Linked DNA regions of Macaca mulatta. The protein of the gene in region 2 interacts with the protein of the main gene of each other region in a biochemical or structural test. Links are inferred from orthologs where the notes say so. Each region holds a gene or a part of one and is shown on either strand. Other genes may lie near its edges.

Region 1 (4,096 bases), on a different chromosome or scaffold from region 2:
ACTTAAGAAGCTCACTCTCCTACTTATTGGATGACTAGAGTGGAAGCAAAAGAGCAGTTAGCTGATTGTTGCAGTGGTCGTGGTGAAAGGGTACAGTGTTTTAGTTCAGGTAGTGAGGATGGACAGAAGTGGACTGATGGGAGATGTATTTTGCAGGCAAAAACCATGAAATGATTGATTGAGTTGGCACAGGGGGAGAGAAAGGAGAGTCAAAGCTGATGATGAGGCTAGGCCCGGTGGCTCACACCTGTAATCCCAGCATTTTGGGAGGCGGAGGCCGTTGGATCACCTGAGGTCAAGAGTTCAAGACCATCCTGGCCAACAAGGTGAAACCCCATCTCTACTAAAAATGCAAAAATTAGCCAGGCAAAGTGCCCTGTGCCTGTAATCCCAGCTACTAGGGAGGCTGAGGCAGGAGTACGGCTTGAACCCAGAAGGTGGAGGTTGCAGTGAGCCAAGATCACACCAGTGCACTCCAGCCTGGCCAAAGAGCAAGACTCCATCTCAATAAAAAATAAATAAAAGCTAATGATGAAAGCTAATATGTATGGAGCATGGAGTATATACCAGTCCAGTCATCTTTCTAAGTGATCCACATTAGTGTAACTAACGAAATCTTCACAATCTTCGTGTGAGGCAGATACTAACTATCAGTACCTCCACTTTGCAGATCAGGAAACTTGGACGCAGACAATTTAAACAAGGTGCCCAAGGTCATACTCTTAGTAGATGCCCTGCTAGAACTGGAATCTAGGCACGCCTAACCACTTCTTCTTAAGGAAGAGACCAATACCATCAATGACAATGAGTAAGAGTACTTATTCTACCCGCTTTTCTGCTTCTCGTCTTCGGGTTTATCATTCTGGACCCACCTATCTTTCCTGGCCCCCCACTCAACTTGACCCTCTTCGCCCACCCTGGGGCGGGGAGACAGAGGTGGTCCTAGAAGAGGGCCACAGGTCAAAAAGGGGTGGGGCCAAGTGGGAATTCTAGCGAAGCGCCTACTATTTGACGGAGGAGGGATGGGCTGGGTAGGTCCCCCTCTCCGACAGGGCTCTTACGCCATATGTGACGCAAATTAGCTTACGAGTCGGGGGTGGAGGTGTCGTCAGCACCCGCCTGCTGTTGGCCGCGCTGCAGCGAGAGGGGCATGTAGACCCCGCCTCGTAGGGAGGTGGGGAGCGGCAGGCCCCGCCTCGGCCCCTCCGGCAGGCTCCCGCCAGCGTCGCTGCGGCTCCGGCCCGGGAGCGAGCGCCCGGAGCTCGGAAGGATGCGGCGCCCGCGGCGGCCTGGGAGTCTCGGGGGATCCGGGGGTCTCCGGCTGCTCCTCTGCCTCCTGCTGCTGAGCAGCCGCCCGGGGGGCTGCAGCGCCGTTAGTGCCCACGGTCAGGAGGAAACTTGGGCTGGCGGGTGGTGGGGGGCGGGGAGCAGCTTGGGGCCTGGAGCGAAACTCGATGGGGGTGGGGGTGAAATGTCATGAAGCTCGGGTAGAATATGGGTTGGGGGAGGCATGCGAGATGAGGAAGGTGAGAGGGCGTCTGGGAGGAAAGGGGCGTAGGCCTGGAGGTGGGGCTGGGAATACGGGGGCGGGACCTAAGAGAATTGGGCTCAGGGGAAAATTGCAGGTTGGGGAGAAGGACGCGGGGTGCATGTGGGCAGAGGGACTTAGAGACCGGCTGCGAGACCACAGGAGAAGCCAGTTGCTCCGAGGCGCCTGGGAGGCGGTGACAGGCGCTGAGGAATGGGAAGAGGAGGGGGCGGGGACGTGGCGGGGAGGATGAGGGAACGGTGATCTCTGGGCAGTGGAAACCTGGGCCGCAGGCATAGAGTCCCAGCTGCGCCAAGAGAGAGACCAGGGTTTCTCCGTAAGCCTAGAAAGGCTGATTGCAGCGATTTGATCTCCTGTAACGGGGGACAGCACGGGGAGGGGGCAGAAGAGGATGAAGAGGGGAGGGTCCTCTCCTGTCCCCCTCCCCACAGCCAGGCCTGGTGCTGACTCACATCTGTGCGGACAGAGACAGTCAGCGCTGACTCACGGGCGGGGGGTGGGGGTAGGAGGACGGCGCGTGGGGGAAGGGGCGCAGCCTCGCCGCCTGGCGCCCTCTTTCCCCACCCGGGCTTGGAGGCCCGAGAGGCAGAGTACTTCCTGTGACGCTGTGGGTTGGCAGAATAGAACAGAGGGCTCAGGTCTAGTGGACAGTCCTCGCTCTGTGACCCCTTCCTCTCTGGTAACCGCCTCCAGGCGAGCCCTTGGCGGCGCCAGACTTAGAGCTTCAGCACCGCGGACAGCGCCAGCGGCTCGGGACAGCGCGGGAAGAGCTGCCTAAGAGGCACCCTCCCCAGCCCCACCCATACCTTCTTTCCCCCGACCGGGGGAAGTGTGCTAGGGTTTCCACCTCTTCTGAGTTCCAGGCCATTATAGGATGCTTTTGGATATTTGGGAAGGAAATTCCTCTTTCAGAATTTGGCCAAAACCTCTCCTACAGTAATTCTATGAGTCTCTCTCCCTGCACCTGGAAGGTTTCTTCCCCATCACTCAGTTAAGCAAACAGGCTTTTAAGGATACAGACTCACAAATTCTTAAAATCCAAAACTAGATCCCATGATTCCTTTTAAGAATTTCAGGCCTGATTCCTACTCTCCTCCCAGCTTAAGGCCTTCTTTAGAATGAAAGAATAAATTGCATCTGCTTCTCCCTTTCCCAGCCTGTCCACCTATCTGCCCATTCTCTGTGTGTGGGTGTCTGAGCCTCTGCTCACCTGTTCCTCTACAGGCTGTCTATTTGACCGCAGGCTCTGCTCTCACCTGGAAGTCTGTATTCAGGGTGAGTGAGGCCCAAGCATAGAACTCACAAGATGGGGGTGGGGTGGGGAGAGGGGTAATAAAAAACTAGAAGGGGAGAGAAGGCCCAGAAAGGAAGAGGGCTACTGGACTCGAGAAGAAGGAAGACTTGCCTGGAAGAGGAGAGGTAGGGGAGGAGGTGAAGAGAGTACTGTTCATTTGCAACCTGGACTTTGGAAAGCCTCTTATTCAAGCCCCCTGCTGACACCACTTTTGTGCCCTCAGATGGCTTGTTTGGGCAGTGCCAGGTGGGAGTGGGGCAGGCCCGGCCCCTTTTGCAAGTCACCTCCCCAGTTCTCCAACGCTTACAAGGTGTGCTCCGACAACTCATGTCTCAAGGTAAGGTCTGGGTGCACTGGAGGAGAGAGATTGGAACTTGGTTAGTTATGGGTGGGGAAGAATATTGTTCTACAAGGAATATTCTTATCACCCCCACTGCTGGAGCCTCATCTTCCCAGATCTTGCTGGAGTGAGAGGTGGAACCCTAGAGATGGGCTATTCACATTTGGACTCTCTGGAGAAGCCCAAAGGAGGCTTCTAGAAGAAGTCACTGGAAAAGGCCAGCTTCCATCTCCTTAGGACCAGTTCCTCTCCCTGGCAGAGCCAAGAACTCTGGAATCCTCAGCCAGGATAATATTCCACTCACCCATTCTTCATTCAACAAGTATTTATTGAGTACTGACTGTGTAGCAGGCATAGTTTTAGGTATTTGGGATGTGTCAGGGAATAAAACAAAGATCTCTGCTAACTGGAGTTTATGTTTGGGGGATAAGGGGAGGGAACACACTATAAAAGTTAGAAAATACATAGTGTCTTAGAAGATGATAAATAGCATGGAATATTACAGCAGGATAAAGGGATCAAAATGGTGAGGTAGAAAGCTACAGTATTAAATCAGGAAATCAGGTGGTCAAGGTGGACATTATTGAGACTATGAAATCTGAACAGACTTTTTAAGGAGGTAGGGGAGTTTGTCAGAAGGTTATCTAGTGGAAGAGTATTTCAGGCAGACCAAATAGCTAGGACAAAAGCACAATTCTGAAGAACACCATGCAGGCCAGGGGACTGTAGAGGAGTGATGGAGAGGAAGAGTAGAAGGTCCAGTCAGGTAGGTAATGGGAGAAGGAATGTGGATCACTTTAGGGCCTCATAGGGGAATGTATGGACATTGGCTTTACTCTGAGTAAAGAAGGAAACCATTACAAGATTTGGAGCATAGGGGTGCATGATCTGATTTACACTTTACAAGCATCAC
Region 2 (4,115 bases):
TCTTGTTGCCCAGGCTGGAGTACAGTGGCGCCATCTCAGCTCACTGCAACCTCCGCTCCTGGGTTCAAGCAATTCTCCTGCCTCAGCCTCCCGAGTAGCTGGGATTGTGCCACCATGCCCGGCTAATTTTTTGTATTTTTAGTAGAGATGGTGTTTCTCCATGTTGGTCAGGCTTGTCTCGAACTCATGACTTCATGACCTCAGGTGATCCACCCACCTCGGCCTCTCAAAGTGCTGGGATTAAAGGTTTGAGCCACCGCGCCCGGCCTTGAGCCACCGCGCCGGGCCCAGGTTTACACCACTGGTTCCCGTGCGTCTCAGGCCTTTGGGCTTGGATTGGAAGTGCACCACCAACTTTCCTGGGTCTCCAGTTTGCAGATGGCAGATCGTGGAACTTCTCAGCATCCATAATCTCGTGGCCAGTCCCTTATAATAATAATAATAATAATAAATTTATATATCTCTATATATCCTATTGATTGGTTTCTCTGAAGAACCATAAGACACCATCATTCTGCAAATATCCTTGAGGCCTGCCAATTGTGGCTTCAGAGTTTTAAGAAAACATGGTTCCCTCTTGAATTACAGGCAAGTAAACGAGATTACAAAACATTGACAAAGGCTTGGATCATGCTGTTGGACCTTTGCTTGAGCTGTTCACCCTCCGTTGTCACCTCTGTGAAGCTGACCCCAGGCCTAACCAAATGTTCCTTTTATGCTGTTCTGGGGACGTTTTCTGCATGTCACTTAACCACATAGTATCACACCTAGTTGGTTGGTTCTGCATTTTCCTTCCCCACTAGACCGCAAACTCTCAGCTGTTGTTGGTACTACTAAGCTTATCTACAGGGCCTCAAAAGGAGCCGGAGTACAGGGCTAAGCGCTCAGTATACAGGGTACGAACCAATCAATGCAAGAATGAACGTGCCACCGGGTCTTGCAGGCTTGCAAAGTGCTTCTCCAAGCTGATTTTACTTTCCGTGCCCGGGCAGCTCCCGTGAATTTTCGGGGGGAGCCGTGGGGAGCCAATGGAAGGAGAATGAGAAATGCAGTTCCACTGCACTCGGGCTGCCCACGTCCGGCGAGAGGCAAGGGATCAGACAACTTCTGCACCTCCCGGAAGCGGCTGCGCCGGCCCCGCCCCTCCGGAGGCAGGCGTGGCCTCATGAATAATGAATCACGCGGGGGAGGGGCCGGGCCCGCCCCTCCGGGCGGGAAGGGGGAAGCGCCGAGGCTGCCTGACTGGAATGAGGGTAGCTGCGGCGGCTGGAGCGGGGCCGGCCATGGCGGTGTGGACGCGGGCCACCAAAGCGGGGCTGGTGGAGCTGCTCCTGAGGGAGCGCTGGGTCCGAGTGGTGGCCGAGCTGAGCGGGGAGAGCCTGAGCCTGACGGGCGACGCCGCCGCGGCCGAGCTGGAGCCCGCTCTGGGACCCGCGGCAGCCGCCTTCAACGGCCTCCCGAACGGCGGCGGCGCGGGCGACTCGCTGCCCGGGAGCCCAAGCCGCGGCCTGGGGCCCCCAAGCCCGCCGGCGCCACTTCGGAGCCCCGCGGGTGAGGCGGGCGCGTCGCCTCCCGTGCGCCGGGTGCGGGTGGTGAAGCAGGAGGCGGGCGGCCTGGGCATCAGCATCAAGGGCGGCCGCGAGAACCGGATGCCGATCCTCATCTCCAAGATCTTCCCGGGGCTGGCCGCCGACCAGAGCCGGGCGCTGCGGCTGGGCGACGCCATCCTGTCGGTGAATGGCACCGACCTGCGCCAGGCCACCCACGACCAGGCCGTGCAGGCGTTGAAGCGCGCGGGCAAGGAGGTGCTGCTGGAGGGTGAGCGGGGCCGGCCGGGCGGGCGGGAGGGTGGGCGGGCCGCGGCGGCCTGGGCTCGCGGGAGCTCACTTTGTTCCTTGCCCCGCCGGCGGGGCGAGCCGGTTCTCTCCCCCTCTCTCCCCAAACCCGGGTTTCTGGAGCTTTCAGTGTGGAAAAACGGATGCTTCTTGCAGGAAAAGTTGGGCAGCCGCCGAAGTGTTACTTGCAGCCCCTAAGGAAGACTCGGCTGAGACTGAGTAAAAAGCAGCTGCCTATGAAGCCTCCTCTCGGCCCGATAAGCTGACACTAAGAACTTGAGGCAGAGCGAACGGCTCGAGTGGGTCTGTCTCCGTTTGCCCGCTGAGAAGTGCCGGGTTGGCGCTTAACTCACTCACCTCTGGCTCCTCGGGGCGGGTGGGTCTATTAAAAAAAAAAAAAAAAAAAAGTCCGTCCACACCGATGCCAGCTGTATGCTTGGGCAACCCACCAAAGAGCTGGTTAATTTATGGGAATTTAACCCATCATTGGCTCTCAACAATAACCGAAGGAGATCATAGCACTTCATTGAAGCCAGAAAGCTGAAACAGCAAGTCTGTGTGGTTAATGAACCTTGTTTAACAGTGGAGGCTCACGTGTTTGAACATTTACTGCCAACTAGAGTTTTGCCCCTTTTGCAAGTCTGCTGCCAGCTTCCTACCACTCACAGGCGCGCTATTAGGGTTTTTGTAAGAAACTTGAAATGGCAAATCACAAAATAGGTTTCAGTAACCAGGATTATTCTTTACAGTAAGTTATATGTATGTGATCTGTAAGTTGGATCTTTCTGATGAATTTGAACTAGGGCAAAAATAAAATTCCTCTCCTCTAAGAACTCATGCATGTTGGAGGTGATATTGTAAATTATAAACGAAGAGTCAGTTGCTTTCTTCATAAATTTTTGAGCGGTCAGCTTTCTTTCGCTGGTGATTATTGCTAGCTGTGTTGAAAAGAATATAAAAGAAGATGCTGTCCCTACTTGGTCTCTAGTTGGAGAAATGATAGAAAAATGCAAAACAACTTATAGGGAGGAAAGGAATGAAGTTGGCGATTACGTCGTGCAAACTATATTTAAATACCAAAGGAATGCAAAGTTAGAAAGTAGTGGAGATGGAATTAGCCAGGGAGGACTTTTTCCCGGAGCTAAATCTTGAGCCGGGTCTCCAAGGAAGTGATGGACATAGGCAGGCAGGGATGAGTCAGGAGGGTATTCCTGGCAGAGGAAGGACAGAAGGGAAGGGCTGGGGGCTGCTGGTGAAGAAGGACCAATCAAACCGAGGGGCCAGAAGTCCAACTTGGCACAATGGATTTTCACTTTCTTATAAATCAGCTTGTGAATATTTGGAAAAATACTGGTTTACCAGAAATGATTTCATGTACACCAGTTGTGAAATTCCAGTGTCCCACCTTTATAATGTCCTATTTATAAACCTTATTTATATTGCACGTCTAGGTGGGGCTAGACACTGCTCGGAAATTAGTGTTAATAGGAGTAAAATTAAGATTGTGGTTTGGGTGTGTGTATAAAAAAATTGTTACTCTAAACATGTACCTTGAAATTGGTCTAGCTAAGCATTTGGTTATAAATTCTTACATCCAGAATGCACTATTTATGTAGTCCTCACTTGTGATGGGCAGACAATTGAACCTTTTACACCATGTTTAAAAAAAAAAAAAAACCCAACACTTTTTGGCCAGGCATGGTGGCTCATGCCTATAATCCCAGCACTTTGGGAGGCCAAGGTGGGTGGATCACCTGAGGTCAGGAGAACGTGGCGAAACCTCGTCTCTACTAAAAATACAAAAATTAGCCGGGTATGGTGGCAGATGCCTGTAATCCCAGTTACTAGGGAGGCTGAGGCAGGAGAATCGATTGAACCTCGGAGGTGGAGATTGCAGTGAGCCAAGATGGCACCACTGCACTCCAGCCTGGATGCCTAGCCTGGATGACAGAGCAAGACTCCGTCTCAAAAACAAACAACCCACTTTTTGTGTAGGTATAGTTTGAACCTAGTATTCAGACTAGTAAAATGAAAACCTTGTAGCAAATGCTTCCCAGTCTTTATTGGACTAAAATAGGCCATGTGTGCTTTTAGAAAGATGGCAGCATAATAACATGTTTATTGAATGCCTTTTTGCCTAACACACAGGTTCTACTTTATTTTCCCACTTTGTATAAGACAAGCAGTTTTTGTTCTTATAAGTTGTGAGGAAGTCAATATAGTAGATTTATGACGTTGCATTTTGAAGCCACTGGGTGTAAAAATAAAATTACTCAAAAT
Region 3 (3,642 bases), on a different chromosome or scaffold from region 2:
GAGTGCCAGAGGGCAAGGAAGAAAAGGATGCGGCCGAGCGCGGTGGCTCACGCCCGTAATGCCAGCACTTTGGGAGGCCGAGGTAGGTGGATCACCCTGAGGTCAGGAGTTCGAGACCAGCCTGGCCAACATGGTGAAACCCCATCTCTACTAAAAATTAGAAAAAGTAGCCAGGCTTGGTGGCATACACCTGTAATCCCAGCTACTCGAGAGGTGTTGGTTGCAGTGAGCCAAGATTGCACCACTGCACTCCAGCCTGGGCGACAGAGTGAGACTGTCTCAAAAAAAAAGAGAGAACGATGAGCAAACCACGGTCCCATGTTAGTTGGGGGGACAAACCCGAAGCTCCCAACCTCCCCCTCATCCTGGGTGCTGGGTGGAAGAAGGAAAGATCCCTCTGGCTAGTGAGGAGGAGGCAGAGAGGCAGGAGGGCTTCTCACAGGAGGTGTCTCATGTTTCAAGGACTCTCGGGATGATATGAGGGTATCCCCGCCTTTTGAGGATGACTCTGGGTTGTCCTGGAGGAAGTGACCATATACCTGACCCCGAAGGGAGGTTCTGACATTTTGGTGGTCACTGCTGTGTTTCACAGATAAATTTCCGCTGTAAGCCGTCCTTCCGTGAATCAGGCTCGAGGAACGTGCGCGAGGTAAGTGTCCAGGGTAGGGTGCTCAGGGACAGGGCCACCCTAAGATTCTGGCATGGGCCTCTGTGCAGTGCCTCCGGAGTGCCACCAGAGGGCTCGGCTCCCTCTAGGCTGGTGCTCTCTGAGGTCTGAGTTCTGCCATGCGGAGGCCTAACTAGCGCTGCGTACAGAGGGGGTGGGACAGCTTGTGCCTCTTGGTGCTTCCCAGCCTTCTCCGGCTCTCCTCTGACTCTGAGCCTCCCCTGGGCCATGAAGAGAGTCTTCAGCCCCTCCTCCACTCATGCGCAGGACTGCAGAGAGCTTCCTGCAGCCCCCACCTTCGATGTATTGAGCCATGTAGGCCGTCCTCAGGGCTGTGCCCCTGCCTACCCCTCACCTGGTGAAATTTCTCCACTTCTCCCCCAGCCAACCTTTGTACGGCACCACTGGGTACACAGACGACGCCAGGACGGCAAGTGTCGGCACTGTGGGAAGGTGAGAGGCCCTGCCCGAGGAAATCGCCACCTGCACCCATGGGCCTGAGCCCAGGCTGTGTGGCCAATGTGGCCTGCCCATCACTGACCGCACCCTGGCGTGCAGAGTCCAGGGCTGACTCTCAGCCTGGCTGCAGTGCCTTCAGTCCCCAAACACCCTGGCCTGCTCTTGGTCTCTGGGCTTAGCAGGAGAGCAGGGAGGAAAGTTTTCTTCCGACGTGGCACGCCTGGCCTGCTTTGAAGCTGCAAGTGGCCCTTTGGAGAATCATATAGACTTACTCATTCGGTGACTCCGTGGATACTTGTGTGCCAGGCACCAAGCTGGGCAGTGGTTTCCCACCCTCCTGAGGACAGTGTGGCTTGAAGCCAGGCTTTCCAGGCGACCGCCTAACACAGTCCACAGTTGTTTGGTTCACTTACTTGTTTGCTTCTTGCCCGCCTCCCTCAGTAAGTGCAGGCTGTCAAAGATGGAGAGGCTCACTTCACTGATTCTCAGCACCTGGCCCACTACAGGCCTTTCATAACAGCCTGTGGGATGAACAGGGAATGAATGTGATAGGTACTCGGAAGCAGCAGTAAATTTCTTTAAGAGCACATGGGGGCCTGGTCAGGCCTCGGGGGTAGGAAGGAGGGAAAATCCGAGTGAGGCAGGAGTTAGCCTGCAGTATGCACACGGTGCTGTGCAGGTAACTTCAGGGAGTCAGGGGGCCCTGGCTAAGCAGCCCTGCTCTTCAGGCTTATTTATATATATATATATATATATATATATATATATATATGTGTGTGTGTGTGTGTGTGTGTGTGTGTGTGTGTGTGTATTTTTTTTATTTTATTGTAAAAAAATGTGTTCAGACTGGGCATGGTGGCTCATGCCTGTAATCCCAGCACTTTGGGAGGCTGAGGCAGGAGGATCACCTGAGGTGATGGAGATTCAAGACCAGCCTTGCCAACGTGGTGAAACCCCATCTCTACTAAAAATACAAAAAATTAGCTGGGCATAGTGGTGGGCGCCTGTAATCCCAGCCACCCAGGAGGCTGGGACAAGCGAATCGCTTGAACCGCTTGAACCTGGAAGGTGGAGGTCGCAGTGAGCTGAGATCACGCCACTGCACTCCAGCCTGGGCAACGAGTGAAACTCCATCTTAAAACAAAAACAAAAAATGCGTTCAGAGCTGGGCATGGTGGCACATGCCTGTTGTTCCCAGTTACTTGGGAGGCTGAGGCAGATTGCTTAAGCCTGGGAGTTTGAGACCAGCCCGGAAACATAGTGAGGCCCTGTCTCTGGGTGGATAGAGGTTGGCAGCAGGAGAGGGACTGGGTCTGCTGCTCCAGGCCTGCCCTGGTGCCCATCCGTCCTGTCTACCCTCAGGGATTCCAGCAGAAGTTCACCTTCCACAGCAAGGAGATTGTGGCCATCAGCTGCTCATGGTGCAAGCAGGCAGTGAGTGGTGCCCCCGCCCCCAGGGCCACGCCCTGCACTGCTGGGTTTGGGTCCCCGAGTCCAAACACGGTCCCGCTGAGCCCTACCCCTCACTCTCCTCAGTACCACAGCAAGGTCTCCTGCTTCATGCTGCAGCAGATTGAGGAGCCGTGCTCCCTGGGGGTCCACGCGGCCGTGGTCATCCCGCCCACCTGGATCCTCCGTGCACGGAGGCCCCAGGTGAGTACTTCCTGCACCCTTGATGCCCCCCACGTACTTGGGGTCTGCCAGCCACCCCAGCCTGCCCACCTTGTCACCAACGCCCCTGCTTCCCTTGCAGAATACCCTGAAAGCAAGCAAGAAGAAGAAGAGGGCATCCTTCAAGAGGAAGTCCAGCAAGAAAGGGCCTGAGGTCAGTCCCAGGCTGGACAGAGGCTGCAGGGGGGCCGGAGAGAGGGGTCTGTGGCTCAGGGTACAGACCTTCCGCCCCCGGCTAATGCTGCCAGCTGGCAGGGGTCCGTGTGGGCTCTGGGGCCTCTGAGAAGGCAGGATTAGATGCCAGTTTCTGCTCTGTGGCCTGGTAAGATCTGGCCCAGAGGTGGTACATGCGGGTACACAAGGGGGGACAGAGTCACCCAGGGGGCCTGCTAAGGATGATGGTAGGGTGTCGTGGACAGGAAGGAGCTTACAGGCTCTCGCCTTGTCTCCCAGGAGGGCCGCTGGAGACCCTTCATCATCAGACCCACCCCCTCCCCGCTCATGAAGCCCCTGCTGGTGTTTGTGAACCCCAAGAGTGGGGGCAACCAGGTAAACGTGGCCTTGCCTCTCAGCTGAGGGCTCGGGCGGGGATTGGGGTCCAGCCTGTCTGCCAGCAGCTATTCCCAGAGCCCGTTCTGGCTTCTGCCCCAATCCCTCTTTCCCAGGGATCCTGAGAAAATCCTGTCCTTTCTCCACCCCTCACCCCTTATTGGCCCTGGTTCCCACAGTCACACCCCTCTCCCTGTGCTTCTCCCACTTCGTCCCGCCACTGCCTGCCTGTCTCTCGGCTCCCGTCCCATCCAGGGTGCGAAGATCATCCAGTCCTTCCTCTGGTATCTCAATCC

Evidence for each region.
Region 1: the proteins of SNTB2 (region 2) and PTPRN form a complex in vitro, tested with the Homo sapiens proteins (2 studies listed by BioGRID and IntAct). The link is inferred for Macaca mulatta from reciprocal best matches to the Homo sapiens genes SNTB2 and PTPRN.
Region 3: the proteins of SNTB2 (region 2) and DGKZ form a complex in vitro, tested with the Homo sapiens proteins (2 studies listed by BioGRID and IntAct, with this or other methods). The link is inferred for Macaca mulatta from reciprocal best matches to the Homo sapiens genes SNTB2 and DGKZ.

Annotation. Positions count from the first base shown.
Region 1 is NC_133417.1:124,555,897-124,559,992, reverse strand, and holds the start of PTPRN (receptor-type tyrosine-protein phosphatase-like N), read left to right. Parts: upstream 1-1,221; 5' UTR 1,222-1,270; coding exon 1,271-1,385; intron 1,386-2,773; coding exon 2,774-2,824; intron 2,825-3,066; coding exon 3,067-3,180; intron 3,181-4,096. UniProt on the Homo sapiens protein: Plays a role in vesicle-mediated secretory processes. Required for normal accumulation of secretory vesicles in hippocampus, pituitary and pancreatic islets.
Region 2 is NC_133425.1:64,804,531-64,808,645, forward strand, and holds the start of SNTB2 (beta-2-syntrophin), read left to right. Parts: upstream 1-1,230; 5' UTR 1,231-1,247; coding exon 1,248-1,818; intron 1,819-4,115. UniProt on the Homo sapiens protein: Adapter protein that binds to and probably organizes the subcellular localization of a variety of membrane proteins. May link various receptors to the actin cytoskeleton and the dystrophin glycoprotein complex.
Region 3 is NC_133419.1:19,238,231-19,241,872, reverse strand, and holds part of DGKZ (diacylglycerol kinase zeta), read left to right. Parts: coding exon 1-82; intron 83-592; coding exon 593-649; intron 650-1,051; coding exon 1,052-1,120; intron 1,121-2,488; coding exon 2,489-2,560; intron 2,561-2,662; coding exon 2,663-2,779; intron 2,780-2,879; coding exon 2,880-2,951; intron 2,952-3,250; coding exon 3,251-3,346; intron 3,347-3,601; coding exon 3,602-3,642. UniProt on the Homo sapiens protein: Diacylglycerol kinase that converts diacylglycerol/DAG into phosphatidic acid/phosphatidate/PA and regulates the respective levels of these two bioactive lipids.